Arabidopsis thaliana: one gene and its partner. The protein of the gene in region 1 purifies or fractionates together with the protein of each later gene. This does not show direct contact. Each region holds a gene or a part of one and is shown on either strand. Other genes may lie near its edges.

Evidence for each region.
Region 2: the proteins of c-NAD-MDH2 (region 1) and AT2G20420 fractionate together in Arabidopsis thaliana (co-fractionation; one large-scale study listed by BioGRID). This does not show direct contact.

Annotation. Positions count from the first base shown.
Region 1 is NC_003076.8:17,388,196-17,393,312, forward strand, and holds c-NAD-MDH2 (Lactate/malate dehydrogenase family protein), read left to right. Parts: upstream 1-2,185; 5' UTR 2,186-2,356; coding exon 2,357-2,399; intron 2,400-2,722; coding exon 2,723-2,881; intron 2,882-2,980; coding exon 2,981-3,156; intron 3,157-3,267; coding exon 3,268-3,545; intron 3,546-3,630; coding exon 3,631-3,766; intron 3,767-3,854; coding exon 3,855-3,966; intron 3,967-4,159; coding exon 4,160-4,254; 3' UTR 4,255-4,546; downstream 4,547-5,117. Other genes in the region: ckl8 (casein kinase I-like 8), read right to left, coding at 1-95, 168-316, 392-461, 555-595, 671-746.
Region 2 is NC_003071.7:8,803,342-8,808,672, forward strand, and holds AT2G20420 (ATP citrate lyase (ACL) family protein), read left to right. Parts: upstream 1-2,000; 5' UTR 2,001-2,232; coding exon 2,233-2,331; intron 2,332-2,514; coding exon 2,515-2,625; intron 2,626-2,707; coding exon 2,708-2,819; intron 2,820-2,916; coding exon 2,917-2,981; intron 2,982-3,076; coding exon 3,077-3,154; intron 3,155-3,263; coding exon 3,264-3,338; intron 3,339-3,444; coding exon 3,445-3,597; intron 3,598-3,680; coding exon 3,681-3,815; intron 3,816-3,904; coding exon 3,905-4,069; intron 4,070-4,155; coding exon 4,156-4,278; intron 4,279-4,367; coding exon 4,368-4,517; 3' UTR 4,518-4,830; downstream 4,831-5,331. Other genes in the region: AT2G20410 (RNA-binding ASCH domain protein), read left to right, coding at 25-84, 179-718, 812-853; RIC6 (ROP-interactive CRIB motif-containing protein 6), read right to left, coding at 5,326-5,331. UniProt on the Arabidopsis thaliana protein: Succinyl-CoA synthetase functions in the citric acid cycle (TCA), coupling the hydrolysis of succinyl-CoA to the synthesis of ATP and thus represents the only step of substrate-level phosphorylation in the TCA.

The DNA of each region.
Region 1 (5,117 bases):
TGGTTCGCTTTGCGTCCAAGACCCATCAAAAAGTTATCAGGCTTTATGTCACGATGAAGAAATCCCCGGACATGCATATACTCAACTCTATTGATCTGAAGAAATCAAATCATGAGCAACACAATAACTCAAACATATCAGAGAAAAGGTAGATAATATATCCGTACCATTTGATCTGCGAGCATTAGAACCGTCTTTAGATTGAACCTCCGACTACAATAATTAAATAAATCCTCCATACTCGGACCCAAAAGGTCAATCACCATACAGTTGTATTCACCCTCAACCCCATACCATTTTAGATGTGGAATACCAGCTTCAAGAACACAAATGTAAAAGTTAATAAAAGAACGATAACTGAAGGTTTAAACCGACAAAAGGCAAAACTTACTTCCTCCTTGAAGAAGCATATAAAGCTTTGATTCATAATGAAGTTGAGGATGTCTAGCTCTCGCAGGTTCCTACAAAGAAAAAAACCAAAGTTTTAGTAATCAAGAATGAGTTTTTACACATTACTGAATTGAAAAGGGTAATAGTCAAATGTTGAGACTTACAAGCTTCACAGCAACTTCTTCTCCAGTTTGTACATTAACCCCTGAAAACAAAAGAGTTATTACAAAAGCAAAACTTGGAATTACCAAAAGACAGAAGAAACTTCAAATCACATTACCTAGAAAAAGTTCACCAAATGATCCACTTCCAAGTTTACGTCCAAGCTTATACTTACCACCAACCACACGATCCATCGTTACCAAATCAAAAAGCTTCCTCCTTTCTTCGATCTCTTAAAACAACTAATCCCCAACAAAACCAAAAGTTGACCCAGATCTCAATTCAATGTTCCCTACCTCTCTAAAAGCCTGATCGAAATTCAAAGATCCCCAATTCAAATTCTAGTAAGAACCCTTCAAATATCTGAATCAAATCAAAATTGTAATCGATTCACCAAGTAATCTTATGCTTCTGCTTTAACACAAACTAAAAATCACCCATTGACCAACAACATCTTCATAGAAAGTCTGACACTTTTTTTCAGACAAAAGCTTTAGATCAGATTGAAGAAACACAAAATGAAACGGAAGAGACAAAACCAAAACAAAAAAAAAAGGTGAAAAGAACAAAGAGAGACGAAATCAGACCCAAAAAAAAAAAAAATGGGTCGTTGGATTCGATTATCGTTTGATCTATAAAGACTGCTACGAGACAGCTTGATTCACTATTTTTTTCTCTTTTTTTTTTGCTGAATTTTTTTTTTCTTAAGGAAGATAATGGATTAGAGACGAAACCAAACGTTAAAAGAAAAATGAAAAAGAAATCTGACGAGACGGCCTTGAAGAAGAGATTTTGAGATTTTCTTTCCTTATCCCTAATTTTTTACAACTTTTTATTTTTTTGCTTAACTAATTTGTTTTCTTTTTCTCCAAATTTGATTTATTCTTCATTAACTGTAAACAGTAACGTCACTATATGAAAAAGATGATAATTAATGACATAAAATTAGTTGGATTTTAATATTTTCTAGCATCTTTATTTTCTTCCGCTCAAGCAATATTGATTATTTTTTGGTAGGCCTCAAGCAATATTGATATTTGATTTGAAACTATTACATAAAAAATATCATAAAAAAACATAATATTCTACCAAAAAATGAGTATTTGATAATATATTTTTAAAAGTAAACAAAACAAAATTTGTCTCGAAACTATCAGATACACCATAAAAAAAAAATTGGTACTATTTATAAAATACTATATAATCACTTGATTGTTAAATTTGCTTTTTAATTTTTATTGGTAATAAGAAAAATTATTACTAACTCGATAAACCCTGATATAAAATATTTTATTATGTAGAATAAAGTAATATAATAGAATCGAATTTCGATTGATATTATATTATCTTCTTTTTTTGTTTAGACCATTTCTTCAATAACAGTGTCAAACATATAATGACATGCATTTTCTACAAAGACAGCTAGAACTTTAGTTTTATATATTCAGACACCACTTACAAAAGAAGAAAATATTAATTAAACATGAAAAAAGTAAACATTGAACATCCCCATTTAATTAGGGCTTTACCAAATTAGTCGGTACGATAAACTCGTCTAAACATTAAATGGGCTTAATTAGTTGGGCTTATTTTAACACTAAATTGGCCCATTATAACTTCCCAAAATGATATTGGTTCGAGATGATTCGATAACGTGGGCATCAATCCATGGATCATCTCAGCTTTCACCATCACCAATAAATAAACACACAGGTCTGCTTTCATACCTTCACGCTCTCTCACTGATCATTCACAATCTCTCTCTTTTTTTCACCGGCGATAATTTTCCGATCTCGATTATAAGATGGCGAAGGAACCAGTTCGTGTTCTTGTTACCGGAGCTGCAGGTAAAATTCTTATTTCTCCGATCTTGTTTCTTCCATCTCTCGTTATTGATTCGTATCGTCAGATCTTTATGTAACACCAATTTTTCATAATCCAAAAATGTAAACGATCATTGAATCATATTTTCGATTCCTATAGTGAGATCTGAAGAGAGAAATTGATTGGATCATTTGGTGAATCCTGTTACATTTTGAGATGTAATTGTCATTTTGGATCAGTTATTTGATTTTATCATGATTTGTTCTGATTTTGTAAGCTTTATTTGGCGATTGATTTGTAATTTTGTGTGTAGATCATGTTTAAGTGTGTTTCTGTTATTGTGCAGGACAAATCGGATATGCTCTTGTTCCTATGATTGCAAGGGGGATAATGCTTGGTGCTGATCAGCCTGTGATCCTCCACATGCTTGACATCCCTTTTGCAGCAGAAGCTTTGAACGGTGTGAAGATGGAATTGGTCGATGCTGCTTTCCCTCTTCTAAAGGGTAAGTTTTTATTCTAGTATATATTTTTACTGTGCTCGTATTGGAATATGGTATGTTGCTTGAGGCTGAAATGTGATGTTGGTGTTTTTTCTGTGGAAGGTGTGGTGGCTACAACTGATGCTGTTGAAGCGTGTACCGGTGTTAATGTTGCTGTCATGGTTGGTGGTTTCCCGAGGAAGGAAGGAATGGAGAGGAAGGATGTTATGTCCAAGAACGTTTCCATTTACAAGTCTCAAGCTTCTGCCTTGGAGAAGCATGCTGCACCAAACTGCAAGGTGATAAGTCTTTTCGAATCGTTCTTATGATCATTATGCAGAAATTAAGCAAGTTAATCTCTTATTTTGTTGTATGAGATATTTCATATTTGCTATCTCTTCGTTTTGTAGGTTCTGGTTGTTGCAAACCCTGCAAACACCAATGCATTGATCCTGAAGGAATTTGCACCATCGATCCCAGAGAAGAACATTACTTGCTTGACCAGGCTTGACCACAACAGGGCATTGGGACAAGTGTCTGAGAGGTTAAGCGTACCAGTGTCTGATGTGAAGAACGTGATTATCTGGGGAAACCACTCATCAACCCAATACCCAGATGTCAACCACGCTACCGTTAAGACTTCCGTTGGAGAGAAGCCAGTGCGTGAGCTAGTCAAGAATGACGAGTGGTAAAAATCTCTAAAACACCCTTTTAATATCTCAATCTAGTTTCGTGAATGTGATGCTCATGTATGTTAGCAACTAATGTTGTAGGTTGAATGGAGAGTTCATCTCTACCGTTCAACAACGTGGTGCTGCCATTATCAAGGCCAGGAAGCTGTCTAGTGCACTTTCTGCAGCTAGCTCAGCTTGTGACCATATCCGTGATTGGGTTGTTGGAACACCTGAGGTTCGTCATTACTACTGTTTTATCTCGAATCAATTGGTTGTTTTGTGTACTAAGTAAAACTAATATGTTCTTCGACTTGATTTCTCAGGGCACATTTGTTTCAATGGGAGTATACTCAGATGGATCCTACAATGTTCCAGCTGGACTTATCTACTCCTTCCCCGTAACCTGCCGTAATGGAGAGTGGACCATTGTTCAAGGTAAATATATTTCTCGTAACCAAAAGTTATACACAATGTTCTTAAGAGAATCCTAGCCTAAAGCTGACCCGTGTAACGGAACCGTAAACTGGATTGTCTACTTCTAATCCTAAGTGTGCAAGGCTGGTTCTCGCTGCGATGATTAGCTCATAGAACTAGATATTGGTCTAATATGTGTTGTTGTTATTCACAGGTTTACCGATTGATGACGCATCGAGGAAGAAGATGGATTTGACAGCAGAGGAGTTGAAGGAAGAGAAGGACCTCGCTTACTCATGCCTCTCTTAAACCGGTCTTTTCTCAGCTGGTTTAATCAGTGAAAGCTTTGTTTCGAATAAAGAAGTTTTGTTATAAAATGAACTTTTAATAACCTCATGAGCTTGAGGTTTAGTTTTCCTAATGTGCCCATGATGTGTCGGTACTGATTTGCTGACCAGATATAAACAATCATTTTGATAATTGACCTCTTTTGGTTTCCTTTCGTAACGGGAGAGTGGAGAGTGGAGAGACAACAACAACTCGAATTTTTTGGTAGACTTTTTCAGATATGGGCCAAAGCTTTGTTGGGTATTCTTTTGGCCCATATGAAAAAAATACAAAAGATTTCGCAATTGTGAAATAAACAGCTTAAGAATAGTATTATAGAATAAAATCTCGCAATAATATACTCCATGGTTTTTATGCGATTTAGAACAATGGGATAATACTAAATTAATAATTTGAATTAATTTTACGTAATAATTTTACGTAACATTTATTTTTTAATTTACTATTATTATTTAATTATGCTATTTTTACTATTTACCAGTTCATCCAAATATAAAACCTTATTAGCCTATCAAAAAAAGAAAACGTAAAACCCTATTTCATAGGTTTTTATCTAAAACTAAAACCCTATTCTATGAGTTTTTTCTCCAAGACTTGCAGTCACTTTGATTTATCTTGTAATTTTATTTTTAAATATAATTTTTTTTCTATAAAAGAGCAAATATAGCTGCAGAAGATAATGATTTGTTGGGTATTGTTGATAACTCTTTTTTTTTCTTCTAATTCCTGATGAATTATCGACGGCTTAATTCATGTCCTCTTTTTTTTCCTGGACATTGAATGTTAGTGACAAGTCTATATAGGACCTAAATACATTCCAACCT
Region 2 (5,331 bases), on another chromosome or scaffold:
ATTTGATTCTGTGAACTCTTCCAGAAACTGATTATTCCATTTGAGATGCGTGGGTACCAGGGCGTCTATAACTTAGAGAATAAGGTAATCTTGCTGTTCTTCAAAGCCTAGGGATTGGTGGGTTCTTGTTGTAGTATAAATTAGTACCAGTTACTTACTGTATTTCTAAATGAAACAGATTTATGTAGCAGCAGCTAGAGGTCTTATGCCTTCTCAAAACTCTTTTAAGGTGAAATTCCCTCTTCCTGACCCAAAAGACCCGTTTTCCTTAAAACCTGGTTCTATTCCTTGTACAATGCAAGAGAAGAAAGAACTTGATTCAAAGCAAGTTACCAGCCTCACAGCTGCAATCAAGCAAGTTACCAGCCTCACAGCTGCAATCGCCGGTGCAAAAGCAGCGGCGACACAATTTTCTAAGAAGGGACAAAGTCTCCAAACAAATAATATATTTGATTACACAACAAGAAGCAAGAGCAAAGTTATTGAAGATGAAGCAGCAGAATCCCTAGATAACCCGGTTCTTGGTTCTGGTGGAACGTCTGACCGTACTTATAGAACAAGAAGCAAGAACAGAGGCACACAGATGGGTGAAGAAGTATGTAGTGAAAGCAGCAACAGCAGCAGCAAAGTTGAATCTAGTCAAAGAAGTGCAGTCACAAAGAGTGAGGACAGGAATACAAGAATTGGTGAAAGAAGGTTTGATCCTGGATCTGCCCGGGTACGTTTATTATCTTACATTAAGCGATAATTACAACAATAATTGTTGACTTTGTTGTTGTCTGATTTTATTTCACATGTGGAATTATTTCAGATCATGGCCGCTGCAATTAGGAACTTGAAGCCACCTTCTTGATCTAATGCGTCAAGGTTGTACCATATTTTGCATTCTTTCTAAAACATGTTCATTTCAAAGTTTGAGAAGTTCGTTTTAGAGTTAGTTTATAGGTTTATTGTATACACATTCAATTTAACTTATATGAGAGAATAATCATGTGGACTAATAAATACACAGAGCAATGAGTTTTGAGTAGACTGTTTAGTCGAATTTTACTAAATTACTATATTTTGGTCAGATTTAGAAGAATGTTTATATTTTTGGGGGGTTTGTCCCACATCGGTAGTTTCAAAATATCAGTTGTGTATATATTTAGTCGAAAACGAAAACAAGTAACAATAGTCATTGGACAAAGTGAATGGGTCACATGGGCTTGTCTAAGTTCCGACCCAGGAAAGTCCCCGGGCCACTTTTCGCAGAGATGCGGCCTCGGTAACGAGAGAATCATGCGGTGGAGAGATTCTATAAGCTGAGACGCGTGTGTGGAGCTTCTGTTGTCTCTCCGTCGATGACATCATGGCCGTTCGATTCACGACAGTTATTCACTTGGTCCTCATCGGACTAACTGAACGGGGCTTATGTTCCAATGACAACAATTTTTTTCTTTTTGAGTAATCCCGGTTTACTCAACTTACTCAACCGTACCGGTGGAAGATTCCTTACAGTAATACTAAAGCTTTTGGCTTAGCTCATTTTGGTGATGATAACAGTAATATCATAAGTACATAATAAATAATTGAAACTTTTGTAAGTATCCTCATTTTTTCAGAAAGTAAATAATATCAAATGTATTGAGAAAACAATAAATGATCATTTTTTTATTTTAATTAGACTCAAAATTAAATAACTGGAAATTAAAAAACCAAATAAACTGAAAATTATTATCTAAAATACAGTAACTAAAAATTTGTCTTGTCGATAAGTCGGATAAAATTTATTCATATAAATATTTAGTCATATACAAGTAAAATAATACTACAAATAATACACAATCAGTCGATGTTATATACAATAAAATTATAGATTTATAAAGGAAAAAATTATCCGGCGATATATCTGATGTCAATCTCTAGTGGGTTAGCATTTTTATTGAAAAATTGTATTGCTTAGTTTTTTTATTGTTATATTGTTAGTGAATTAAAATGGTACTTTGGTATTTTCATATATAGACTTTTTGAAAATAAAATCTTAGATTTTTTCTAACAAGAGTTACCAAAAATATTTTGGAATTAAATGAGCCGGCGACATAGAAGAATAGAGAGGGTTAAATTGAAAATTCATAAAGTAGGAAAAAATTAGGGTTAGACTCGATCATTCATAGCTGCGACTATTCTCTGCTCTTTCTACATTTTCTCATTTTCTCTTGGGCTACTTTTCGACTACTAACAAATCCAACGATGAGGGGATTGGTGAACAAGCTCGTGTCCAGATCTCTCTCCATCTCCGGGAAATGGCAGAACCAACAGCTTCGTCGTCTCAACATCCACGAGTATCAGGTTCTTCTTCTCTTCATTTCCATTTGATAGTTGCCTAGATTCGCTTTTGTCAAGTCAGAATTCGAGTACGATCTGTGTCTTTGTCTGTTGTTTCTGTGTTGATCCACTGATTGATTTGTGGTTGATAGAATTCTCTGGGTTTAGGATAATGTAAAGTTTGTATTGTGATTCTGATACAACCAGGGAGCTGAATTGATGGGGAAATATGGAGTTAATGTGCCGAAAGGAGTAGCTGCTTCTTCGTTGGAAGAAGTTAAAAAGGCTATTCAAGATGTTTTCCCTAATGAAAGCGAGGTAAATTCAGTGAGGGATTCGATTCTAATCTCTATTATTAGTTGTTGTCTAATTGAAAGAGTGTCATTTTCGTGTGATACAGTTGGTTGTTAAGAGCCAGATTTTGGCTGGTGGAAGAGGTCTTGGAACATTCAAGAGTGGTCTTAAGGGTGGTGTTCACATTGTTAAACGTGATGAGGCTGAAGAGATTGCTGGTATTGTACAGGATTTCTTGTTTGTGGCTTTCTGGAGTCTGTTTTTTGTTGTTGTTGTACAAGTTATTGATCTATTTCAAATCTTTATTACTTGTAGGAAAGATGCTAGGACAAGTACTTGTCACCAAGCAAACTGGTCCTCAAGGCAAAGTAGTTAGCAAGGTTTGTTATCTGTTATTCATGATTGGTGTTTTTTCTTCTATTATTGTCACTGCTCTTGCACCTTTGTTTATTCATTGTGTCTTCATTTTGAGCAGGTTTACTTGTGTGAGAAATTGTCACTCGTCAATGAGATGTACTTTTCCATTATTCTGGACCGTAAATCTGCTGGACCGGTATGCTACTACGCAAATGATGAGCTGCTGCTATTCATTTCCCTACTTCTAGGCATGCTGTTTTCATACCCTGCTGTAATATCTAAAACGCTTTCCTTTCCTATATCAGTTGATCATTGCCTGTAAAAAGGGTGGTACCAGTATTGAAGATCTTGCTGAGAAGTTCCCTGACATGATCATCAAGGTTGTTACTGTTTGATTCGTATTTGGTGGTCTGATCTCCAGTAAATATCATTCTGAGATTCTTTCTCATGCGGGTTTTTGACACCTCAAGTCATGGTTTTGCGTAGGTACCAATTGATGTATTTGCAGGAATCACTGATGAAGATGCTGCTAAGGTTGTGGATGGTCTGGCTCCCAAAGCTGCTGACAGAAAAGATTCGATTGAACAAGTGAAGAAGCTATACGAACTCTTCCGCAAGACTGACTGCACAATGTTGGAAGTGAGTTCTCTCTCACTGTCTTTTTTCTACACACTTCTTCAGTTATAAATATCTTTTGTTGAACCTCCAAATTTCTCTTGTAGATCAATCCCCTTGCGGAGACATCAACTAATCAATTGGTAGCTGCTGATGCCAAATTGAACTTCGATGATAATGCTGCGTTCCGACAAAAAGAGGTTTTCGCCATGCGTGATCCAACACAGGAGGATCCACGAGAGGTCTCTGTCTATCTCTTGTATCATCAAGAAAGCCATTGTTATGTTAATTCGATAGGATGTTAAAAGGAATAGTGTGTTGTGTCTCATAGGTGGCTGCTGCTAAAGTTGACCTGAACTACATCGGTTTAGATGGAGAGATTGGTTGCATGGTGAATGGTGCTGGATTGGCCATGGCAACCATGGACATCATTAAATTACACGGTGGAACACCCGCCAATTTCCTTGACGTTGGTGGAAATGCTTCTGAGCACCAGGTAAAAGGAACCTTCTTTCTTTCTTCACTTTTGGGAATCATTGGAATGAAAACCAATTTTAATAGAGGTTTGTGTCAAAAAATAAGGTGGTGGAAGCGTTTAAGATACTGACATCGGACGATAAAGTGAAAGCAATCTTGGTGAACATATTTGGTGGGATAATGAAATGTGATGTGATTGCTAGTGGAATCGTGAACGCTGCAAAAGAGGTGAGTGAGAAACAACCTTGTTACCATAATATTTCATATATTCATGATTGAAAATAAATCCGAGTGTTTGTGTGGAATGGCGAGGACAGGTCGCATTGAAAGTGCCAGTGGTGGTTCGTCTAGAAGGAACGAATGTTGAGCAGGGAAAGAGAATCCTCAAGGAAAGTGGAATGAAACTCATAACAGCTGATGATTTGGATGATGCAGCTGAGAAAGCGGTTAAAGCTTTAGCTCACTAATCTCTCTATATATACCAAAAGCCGGTTTGTTAATTGTTTTGTGGTTGACGCCCAATTTACACTTTCTTGCGGATATCATTTCCTCAAACAGATCAATAATGAACTGGTCTCCTTTTTTTGTGTGATCCATCCAAAGAGATTCAAATCAGAATTCTCAATATCTTTTTGTATTTAACCAACTCATATGGTTGATACTAGGGTTTCAAGTTTATCTCATACGTACTGTTCCTATCATGAATAAAAATCGTTTTTGTGGGAAGCCACACTATAGCTGTCACTGAAACAACAAAATTAATCCCTCTCTCTACAAAAGGCTTTCACAAAACAGAGCTGTCCTCTGTTTCCAATTTAACGGTCAAAACGATAAACTTATTTTTTGATAGAATGTTAATTATATTACCAAAAGGAAAGAAGATTATTTACAAAAACTTTTGACCAGGATTGCAGCTCCATTGTTGTAGTGATGCAGCTCTATTGCTGAGGGCTATGATGAAGAGGAAAATCACACTAACACTACTCAGCTCTTGTCCAAGAAGTTTTTATTCATATATAGGGTTTCTAGTAAAGTGAAAGATGCTGTTGATTTGTTCTGTAAGAATGCTCTTTTATATTTATGATCGACGTCAATGATGATCTATGTTCAAGTGATTTGGATGATAGCACCGAAAAATATTTGTCTAAATTCTCCTTGCATAGTTAATAATAGTACAAGAATGAACAAGAAAATCTAACAATTGGTGTGTTGTGTTCAATGAAAATTAGCCATTTGGAGCTAGCAGCAAAGTCTCTATATATGTCGTCTCTCCTTTCAAAA